Linked DNA regions of Sus scrofa. The protein of the gene in region 1 purifies or fractionates together with the protein of each later gene. This does not show direct contact. Links are inferred from orthologs where the notes say so. Each region holds a gene or a part of one and is shown on either strand. Other genes may lie near its edges.

The links.
Region 2: the proteins of IFT88 (region 1) and HSPB11 purify together in Homo sapiens (affinity purification with mass spectrometry; 3 studies listed by BioGRID and IntAct, with this or other methods). This does not show direct contact. The link is inferred for Sus scrofa from reciprocal best matches to the Homo sapiens genes IFT88 and IFT25.

What each region holds. Positions count from the first base shown.
Region 1 is NC_010453.5:963,513-967,558, reverse strand, and holds part of IFT88 (intraflagellar transport protein 88 homolog), read right to left. Parts: intron 3,250-4,046; coding exon 3,145-3,249; intron 1,844-3,144; coding exon 1,741-1,843; intron 614-1,740; coding exon 499-613; intron 1-498. UniProt on the Homo sapiens protein: Positively regulates primary cilium biogenesis. Also involved in autophagy since it is required for trafficking of ATG16L and the expansion of the autophagic compartment.
Region 2 is NC_010448.4:158,337,271-158,342,011, forward strand, and holds the start of HSPB11 (intraflagellar transport protein 25 homolog), read left to right. Parts: upstream 1-1,517; 5' UTR 1,518-1,764; coding exon 1,765-1,791; intron 1,792-4,741. UniProt on the Homo sapiens protein: Component of the IFT complex B required for sonic hedgehog/SHH signaling.

The sequences.
Region 1 (4,046 bases):
TCACAGAGGTGTCATACTGAACCTACGAGAAATTTTGACCAGTAGATCCCCTGGAAACCTCCTCCGTTCCCACAGTTATTATCAGACGACAAGGTAACTCGCTGTTTCTGTGCTGGAAATATTTTAAGAATGAAAATATCCCAGCATCCTCTTTTGGGGATATTTAATTTCTAGCCTTGCACTCTGGAATGGTCCAGGGACTGCTGTTCGACTTGGTGCGGGCAGGAAACTGGATTGGGCGCTAATGGCCTGCGGGGTCATTCCCTGTACAGGTCCAGGAGCTTGGTTTTATTCCGACTGATCACGGTCTATGCCTTTAACTTTTAACCTGGCATCATATAAACAACGCCCGCGAGCAGTCACAGGGGAGAAAACACCGGACTAAGACACGCACTGAGCACTTCTCCAAGAGACACCTCCAAGCAGTCAACCCACTGGCGACACGTCAGGACCATGACCTTGTTTCTGAAGAATAGCACGTAAATTTTACAAACTTACCTCATTTCTTTATGGACGCTTGGAATCTGATCTAAGGCCATTCGGTAGAATTTAATGGCTTTGGAATAATTTCTTTGCTTTAAATAAATATTTCCCATATTCACTTTCAACCGTCCTGGTTTAAAAAAAATAATGATAAATACATAATATCCTTTTTTTCACTTTTCCTAAGAAATTTTACATGACCTTAACTCATATTTTTTGAAGTTCTTCTCAAGATATAAAGTTTCAGACACTAACTAAAAATTCTCACTTTAAAATAGTTACACTATTTTCAAATATCTGCACAGGAAACTTCTACAAGGAAATGGAACTTATGACAGATTCCTGGAAATACGGCTAGAAAGCAATAGGGTTACATCATAAAACTGGAAATGTGGAGTCCCCGTCGTGGCTCAGTGCTTAACCTATCTGATCAGGAACCATGAGGTTGCAGGTTCAATGCCTGGCCTCGCTCAGTGGGTTAGGGATCCAGCGCGGATGCAAGCGGCATAGGTCACAGATGCGGCTTGGAGCTGCACTGCTGTGGCTGCGGTGCAGGCTGACAGCTGCAGCTCTGATGGGACCCCCAGCCTGGGAACCTCCACGTGCCGCAGGTGTGGCTGTAAAAAGAACAAAAACTGGAGTTCTGTCATGGCTCCGTGGTTAACGAATCCGACTAGGAACCATGAGGTTGCGGGTTTGATCCCTGGCCTTGCTCAGGGGGTTAAGGATCCGGCGCGGCCGTGAGCTGCGGTGTAGGTCGCAGACGAGGCTTGGATCCCGTGTTGCTATACGGCGCTGGCATAGGCCGGTGGCTACAGCTCCGATTCGACCCCTGGCCTGGGAACCTCCATATGCCGCGGAAATGGCCCAAGAAATGGCAAAAAGACCAAAAAAAAAAAAAAAAAGAACAAAAACCTTACAGAATATAAATGCTAAACACAAACAACAGCCTCCTGAGGCTCAACCCTACAAGGGAAACACGTCCGACGGTGTTGCCGCAGCTCGTCCCATGCGCTACATGACCTGCTGTCCACTGGCTACGGGGCAGTGTGTCATAGGCCTGCTGTGTCTCCTCCTCCGCGTCGGTGTGCACTTTCATTACCACAGGGCCTCTAGGCAGGACACCTCTACCACAAATACGGATTGCTTAGAGCACTGATGATTTCATGATAACAGAGCATAAAATGAGGACGTGAGAAATCACCCCTAGAGAAGAACCAGAGTTAGTGGAAAAACTGACTGTATATACACACCTACCTGCATTGCTAAACATCTTGTTTTTCACGATAACTTGATACGTGTTTAACGCTTCGGCATACATTTCATTCGCTGAATACTGACTGGCCAAGGTGAAGAGAACCTACGCGAGAAACACCGCAAAGTGACAGCTAACAATCATTTTAGCCCCCGGTGCCTGTGATCCTTCTAGAAATGAAAACACTGCAAAAGTCGGCTGCCTCTGTCAAGACACCCGGCTCGCCCGGAAGGGCAGGACAGAAAACGCGCCCCGCGTGTGAACACGGCCGCGACACGATGGAGACAGCGAGGCTGTCCTCTGCCCTCGCCTCGTCTTCCACGGAGTCTTTCTAATGAATGCGTCTGCTTTCCTCTAAACTCAGGAAGACCCGCAAAGCATACATGTGTATTATTAATCCTGCTGGTAATAAAACGAAAAAGGAAGAGAGTGGACCAAATTCTCTTTGTAGATATAAACTAAACATCGTGTGGAAATATCTTAAATTTTAGTTTGTACAGTATTCCTTCATATCCACATTTGTAATTTTTTTGGTCTTTTTTTTTTTTTTTTAAGGGCCACACCCAAGGCATATGGAGGTTCCCAGGCTAGGGGTCAAGTTGGAGCTGCAGCCACCAGCCTACGCCACAGCCACAGTAATGCAAGATCTGTGACCTGCACCAGAGCTCACGGCAACGGTGGATCCTTAACCCACCGAGTGAGGCCAGGGATCAGACCTGCATCCTCATGGATACTGGTTGGGGTCATTGCCACTGAGCCACAACAGGGACTCCCTACACATTTATAATTCAAATTGTTAGAGTAAATTATGTTCCTAGAGGGAAAAAATGATCACTGTACACCATCCCCAAATCCAAAGAGCCTATGGAATTTTAAAATATTAGCCATAAACAGTAAATATCTAAAAATTGAGGTGTGGCCCTAAAAAGAAAAAAAAAAATTAAAAAGCCCCACAAAACCCAAATCTTTTATTAAAGCAATCACCCTGAGCAGTACACGTTAGCACTCCTCAGCCGTCACTGGATGGTGGGTTCACAAGCACTTCATATGTTGCTAAGTGACTCCACAGGAGTTCCCGTTGCGGCGAAGTGTGCCAAGACCCTGACTACAGGAGTTCCCATCGTAGAGTAGCAGTAATGAACCGAACTGGGATCCACGAGGACCCGCGTTCCATCCCTGGCCTCGCTCAGTGGGTTAAAGGATCCGGTGTGGCCATGAGCTGTGATGGAGGTGGCAGACCCGGCTTGGATCTGGTGGTGCCAGTGGCTACAGGTCCGATTCGGCCTCTGGGCTGGGAACCTCCACATGCCACAGGAGCGGCCCTAAAAAGGAAAAAAAAAAAAGGGGGCTCCTGGAATCCACAAATTCCAGCGAAAATAACCCCCCAACCGGTCCTTGATACTCACCGAGTAAGTTAAGTCCAAGTTGATGTTTTCTGGACTTGCAACTTGTTCTCGTTGTCTCACCAGCACTCGCTCTTTTCTTCCCGCATCTTTTGCCTTTTCCAAGGCCTGAAATCAAGGTTACACTGCGTGACTCCTAGGAGCACTCATCCGGCGGGATGCGCTGGGAGCAGCTGCAGGGAGGAGTGGCCGCCCTGCCACGCTGCTCCACAAACGCTCCGCCGTATTCACGCCGGAGCTTCCCCCCCACGTCCCCAGCCCCGAAAAGGCCGTGTGTCCTTTCTGGGAAAGAGGAGGAAGCCGAGGGCTGAGATGCAGCGCTCACCTGCCCCCGAGGTTCCCCAGCACCTGCACTGCCACCACTTCTGGGTCTGACCGTGTCTCCTTTCTTCCTCCCAACTCCTGAGTCTTTGGTGTTTTAACTCAGTCTCACGAGACAGGCACGGAGGTGGATTTGTTTGGTTTCTGGGATGCTCAACGTGCAGACACGGCAAAACCACCCGGCATGACTACAGAGGCCTAGTTCGCTTATGTGTTTTACTTGCAATGACAAGGACCTTTTATTGATTCCCACGGACAGACTAACCGCAGAAAGAGTAACTCGATATGGGATTGGCTGGGGTTTTTTTCTTTTTTTTCTGGAACTAGACAAAAAAGCACAGGTTCGGAGTTCCCGTCATGGCTCAGTGGTTAATGAATCCGGCTAGGGACCATGAGGTTGCGGGTTCGATCCCTGGCCTTGCTCAGTGGATTAAGGATCCGGTGTTGCTGTGAGCTGTGGTGTAGGTCGCAGATGCAGCTCGGATCCCGAGTTGTTGTGGCTCTGGCATAAGCCGGCGGCTACAGCTCTGATTCAACCCCTAGCCTGGGAACCTCCATATGCCGCAGGAGCGGCCCTAGAAATG
Region 2 (4,741 bases), on another chromosome or scaffold:
TCACCCGGCTCCTTCCTTCCTAGACCATTCCACCCCCACCCACTCTCATCCCTATGCACTCCTGCTCTGTCCTTCACCATGTATTCGCCCCTTCCTCCCACTTCGCTGAGATTCCCTCTCCCAGGACCCCAATCTCTCCATCTTTTCCTTGTCTTCTGCCCTCAACCTTCAAGATCTCCTTTCTTCACGCCTCACTAAAGCCCAACTTCACAATCCGCGGCCCCAACTTTTCCTCCCTACCCCCAAGACCCCACCCCTTCTCCCATTCCAGTCCTAGACCCTTCCCTCTTGGCACCCCTCAATCCGATTCCCTCTTCCCCTCCTTCGCCAGCACTGCAATCCTCCACCTCGGTCGAAATTCCCACGCATGCCCCTCCTCAAATTCACCCAAGCTAATCCTTCTCCCTTCTCCCACCCAGGCCTGAACCCCAATCTTCACACGCCCTCATACACTCCCCCAGCACCCCAATTCTACCCTTAAACCCACCTCTGACACCCCTATATCCTCATCTCCACATCTTTCACCAACCACACCCCAGCTTCGTCCCTTTCGATCTCCCCCTCCCCCATCCCACCCCTCCCTCAAACCCCGCACCCGCCCCATTCTCAGCCCTGGGCTACGTGAGAGGCCCAGCCCGCGGTCGCCACCTACCTGTACCCCCGCCTGGGGCAGCCCGGCAGCTCCTCGGTGGCAGGTCCCTCCTCCCGCGGCGCGGCAGAGGGGGGAAGCGGCTCCGCGCCCCCGGCACAAAGCTGAGGAGGGTGGGACAGAGAGTGGGCGGGAGGAGGGAGGGGGCTGGGGGCGACCTGGCGCCTTGGGACCGCGGGGCCGGCGGGGGCGGAGGGAAGACTGGGCAGGGGAGGCGCGCTTGCGCGCGAGACCCGGCATGAGGGGCGGAGCCGGGCCTGGAGGCGGGACCGGGCCCCGGGCTGGCGACCTGAGGGCCTAGGGCTCGAGCCGGGAGAGGTGGGGACTGCGCGTGCGTGTTCGCACGAAGGCGGGTCTCTTGGGTCTCGCAGGCCCCTGGGATCAAGCTGAGCTGGGGGAGGGTAGGCAGCGCGTGCTCAGGGCTTACCTAGGGACAGGCCCTTGGGCGGGGCTGCGGAACTCAGCCCGCGAACCAAAGATCACGGGGGCGTGGCCTGGGGCGTGGCCTATGGGAGGGTGGAGCATCAGGCCGGGAGAAGAGCTGAGCGCTCTGGGGATCTCGAGGAGGCTGGGCGGGAGGGAGGCGGGGCTGGGGAATGGGGCGCGCAACGCAGGGTGGGGCGAGACGGGGCGGGGTCTGAGGGAGGGGTGGAGCATAGAGCCGGGAGTAGATTCTGCGCAGCAGCCAGCGAACTCCTAGGAGGCCGGCGGAGAGGGGAGAGGCGGAGTTGTGGGCAGGGCGGTAGAGAGAAACGAAGCTCGACTGTAAGCGCGTTTGTCGCTAACCGGAGGCCTAGGCGATCCGGGCTTTGTGGCTCGCCCGGCACCTTGGGAGGTGGGACCCTGGCTGGGCGAGGCCGACAGAAGGGGATGCTGGTGGAGGAGGGAGCGAGCGAGCGAGCGTGGCGGGGGTTGTGAGGGGACGCGCGGCGCGGAGGCGGATCGCCGGGGTCGCTGAGGCTTGGCTCGTGAGGGGACCGGGAAGGGGGAAGTCTGACGCAGGTCTCTTCGAAGTACCAGAGAACCAGCGCACGAACTTTTTCTAGGCCTGATAAAATGTTTTGACCCCCCCACACACAAAGGGAAAATCAATTCCAAGTCGAAATTATAAGTGTATGAAAATGAAACCTATCCACTGGAACGTAAGTTCATACTTCAGAATTATGTTTGACATAAGATGTGGGTTCATTTAAGATATTTTATCTAGTTTGGCGCCAGGAGTCCAAAGTTATGAATGTTCAGGGCCCATGGAGGTCTCGAAATGGCCTTGAACTGAAGAGAAGGGTTTGGGATGGAGGGGAAAATGTGGGGTCAGGGCTGATTGCCTTTCAAGTGATATGCCAAGCTATAGGCCCTGGCTGGCACTGGGGAGAGGGAGGATGGCGCTTCTCGAATTTACACACGTTCCCGGTGGATGATGTAATGGGACAGGGTTTGAGGAATCAAAGAGTTACCAGAAGCTAGTGGCTGGTCGGGGAGAAGGTGAACTGAAGACTTGGCGCAGAGAGGTTTGCGGAAAGAAAGGACATGCGAACTGGAGGTGAAAGGGTGGATAAATGGCACTGGGACAAGATAAGGCATCTAAGGCATCACCACCAGTCCAATTGAGAACCACTGAACTATAGGCTAAAGCCTACTCTCTTTACCTGACTTTCAAGTATTTGTATTATCTGCTCCTAATCTACCTTTCCTAGAATTCAAGTCATTCTAAAGGAACCCCAGTGCAAGAATTCTTTCTTTAGTTTCTTTCATAGGTTATTACCTTTTCTTGTACACTTCCAGGATTGGAAAAGATTAAAAATCTTCTCTTTGCTAGAAATTTCTTATATCTATGATGTCATCCAGCTTAAAATTCATGTTTGTTTGTTTATTTATTTTGCCCATGCCTGCAGCATGTGGAAGTCCCTAGGCCAGGAATCGAACCCATACCACAGCAGCAACCCAAGCTGCTGCAGTGACAATGCCAAATCTTCAATCCATGGCACCACAGAGAACTCTGGAATTCATATTTGTTGAGTGCATTTCTCCCTGTTATTATCATCAGTTATTAGTGAAAAATTCTAATACTTTTTACATTTGAAGACTTGTGATGTTAAAACTTGTAGTCACATTTCTCTCACTAAATTATCTCTCCTTGAAACAATATTCTTTCAACTTCCTCCATTTAATGTAGCTTATATATCATCATGAAATTTTTGCACTCCTCTGAACAATGTAAAGCCTGACAGTGTCTTACTTAAAATATGCTAATTGGAACCGAACAGAGTATTCTAGGTGTGGTTCACTATTAGCATGTAACATACTAAGTTACTAGTTTCATGGTTGTCCATCTTCCTTGACACTGAGCTTGAAGGCAAAAACCAAGCCTTGGTCACCATCTTTGTCTTAGATTTACTGTAGTCAAAGGTGACGACATAGTATCTTTGCATTACTAGTGCAGTGTCTGGCCCTTAGTTGGTTTTCAAAGATTTCGATAGAAGGTGGTTCCTTCTTAACTCCAATAATATAATCTAAAATAACATTCCTTTGCCTTATAGTGACTTTGCAATCAACTAATCCTCTATATTTTACACATAGAGATGAAGGATTGGCAAGGTTTTTCTCTAAAGGGCCAGATAATAGATATTTTAGGCTTTATGAGTCTGTCACAAACATTCAACTCTGTCACTATAGCACAAAAGTAGCCACAGACAATATATACATGAATGAGCATGGCCATTTCCAATAAACCTACTCATTGACACAAAGCTGCAAATTTCCTATCTCATATGATTTTCATGTGCCACAAAATACTATATTGATTTTGAAAAATATTTTAAAATGTAAAAAGCATTCTTAGCTGATGGGCCATACAAAAACAGGTGTCAGGCTAGATTTGACTTATAGGCAATAGTTTCCCAATCCCTGATCTAAACCGTTCTTCATGTGATTGATTTTTTTTTTTTTTTTTTTTTTTTTTTTGTCTGTTTTAGGACCACACCGGGGGCATATGGAGGTTCCCCGGCTAGGGGTCAAATCAGAGCTGTAACCGCTGGCCTACACCGCATTTGTAACCTGCACTACTCTCAGCAATGCCGGATCCTTAACCCACGGTTCGAGCCCAGGGAGTGAAACTCTGTCCTCATGAATACTAGTCAGATTCATTTCCACTGAGCCATGGTGGGAACTCCTGATTTTTTAAGTCTGAGTACAGGCCTTTACTGTTATCCTTATTCAGTATCTTAGTCATTGCAACCCATTTTTCTAGCTTGCTCAGTTCTTGTGTGCTAATTCTAGCATATTAGCTGATATCCCAGCTTTGTGTCATCTGCAAAACTGATAAAACAAACTTTTTCTATCCTTAATAATGAAAATGTTGAATGGGATAAGGATAAAGGTCTTCCACAGTTCATTTTGTCCCATTAATCATTATTCTTTGAGGATAGCCATTCCAAGAATTATAAACAATCTACCTCAAGTACTGCCTGTCACCTATCCCACATTTCTTCATCTAGTCCACAGGTTATCTGAGATGCTTTGAAATTTTCTTGAAGTGTTCAGAGCATTCAGAAGTAATAGGAAGTAACTCTATCAAACAAAAAGAAATATATAGATTTGGTATAACATGTACTAAAGTTACTGTTGCTTTCTAGTTTTACTACCTTCTTGTTTAGATTTTCAAGGACATGCTTTTAATGATGAAATTTAGCAATTTTAGAATTTTTGTTGAGAATTAACATCCAAGTACATCAATCTCTATTTCCAAGAATTCACCGTATTTTTTCTCTTCAAACTAAGAGTTAACAATGTTCAAGCAACAGCAGTTCTCTGGTATCAATAGTATTAAAAGCTGTGTAAGATTGGCAAGAAAAAAGGCGAAATAAAATCATATTATCATGTATGCCTTTTTCCTTCAATCTTGCCACAGCTTTTAATACTAAATACTAGATTTTAAAATTATAATAGAAAATGAGCTTTATCCCAATAAATATACAAAATAAGAAGAAATAGATAGTTTTCTCCAAATATAAATTTCAAAATTGACTCAAGAAGATATAGAAAGCCGAAAGAGACTTATTGAACTTGAAATAGTAAAAATGCTATAAACACTTT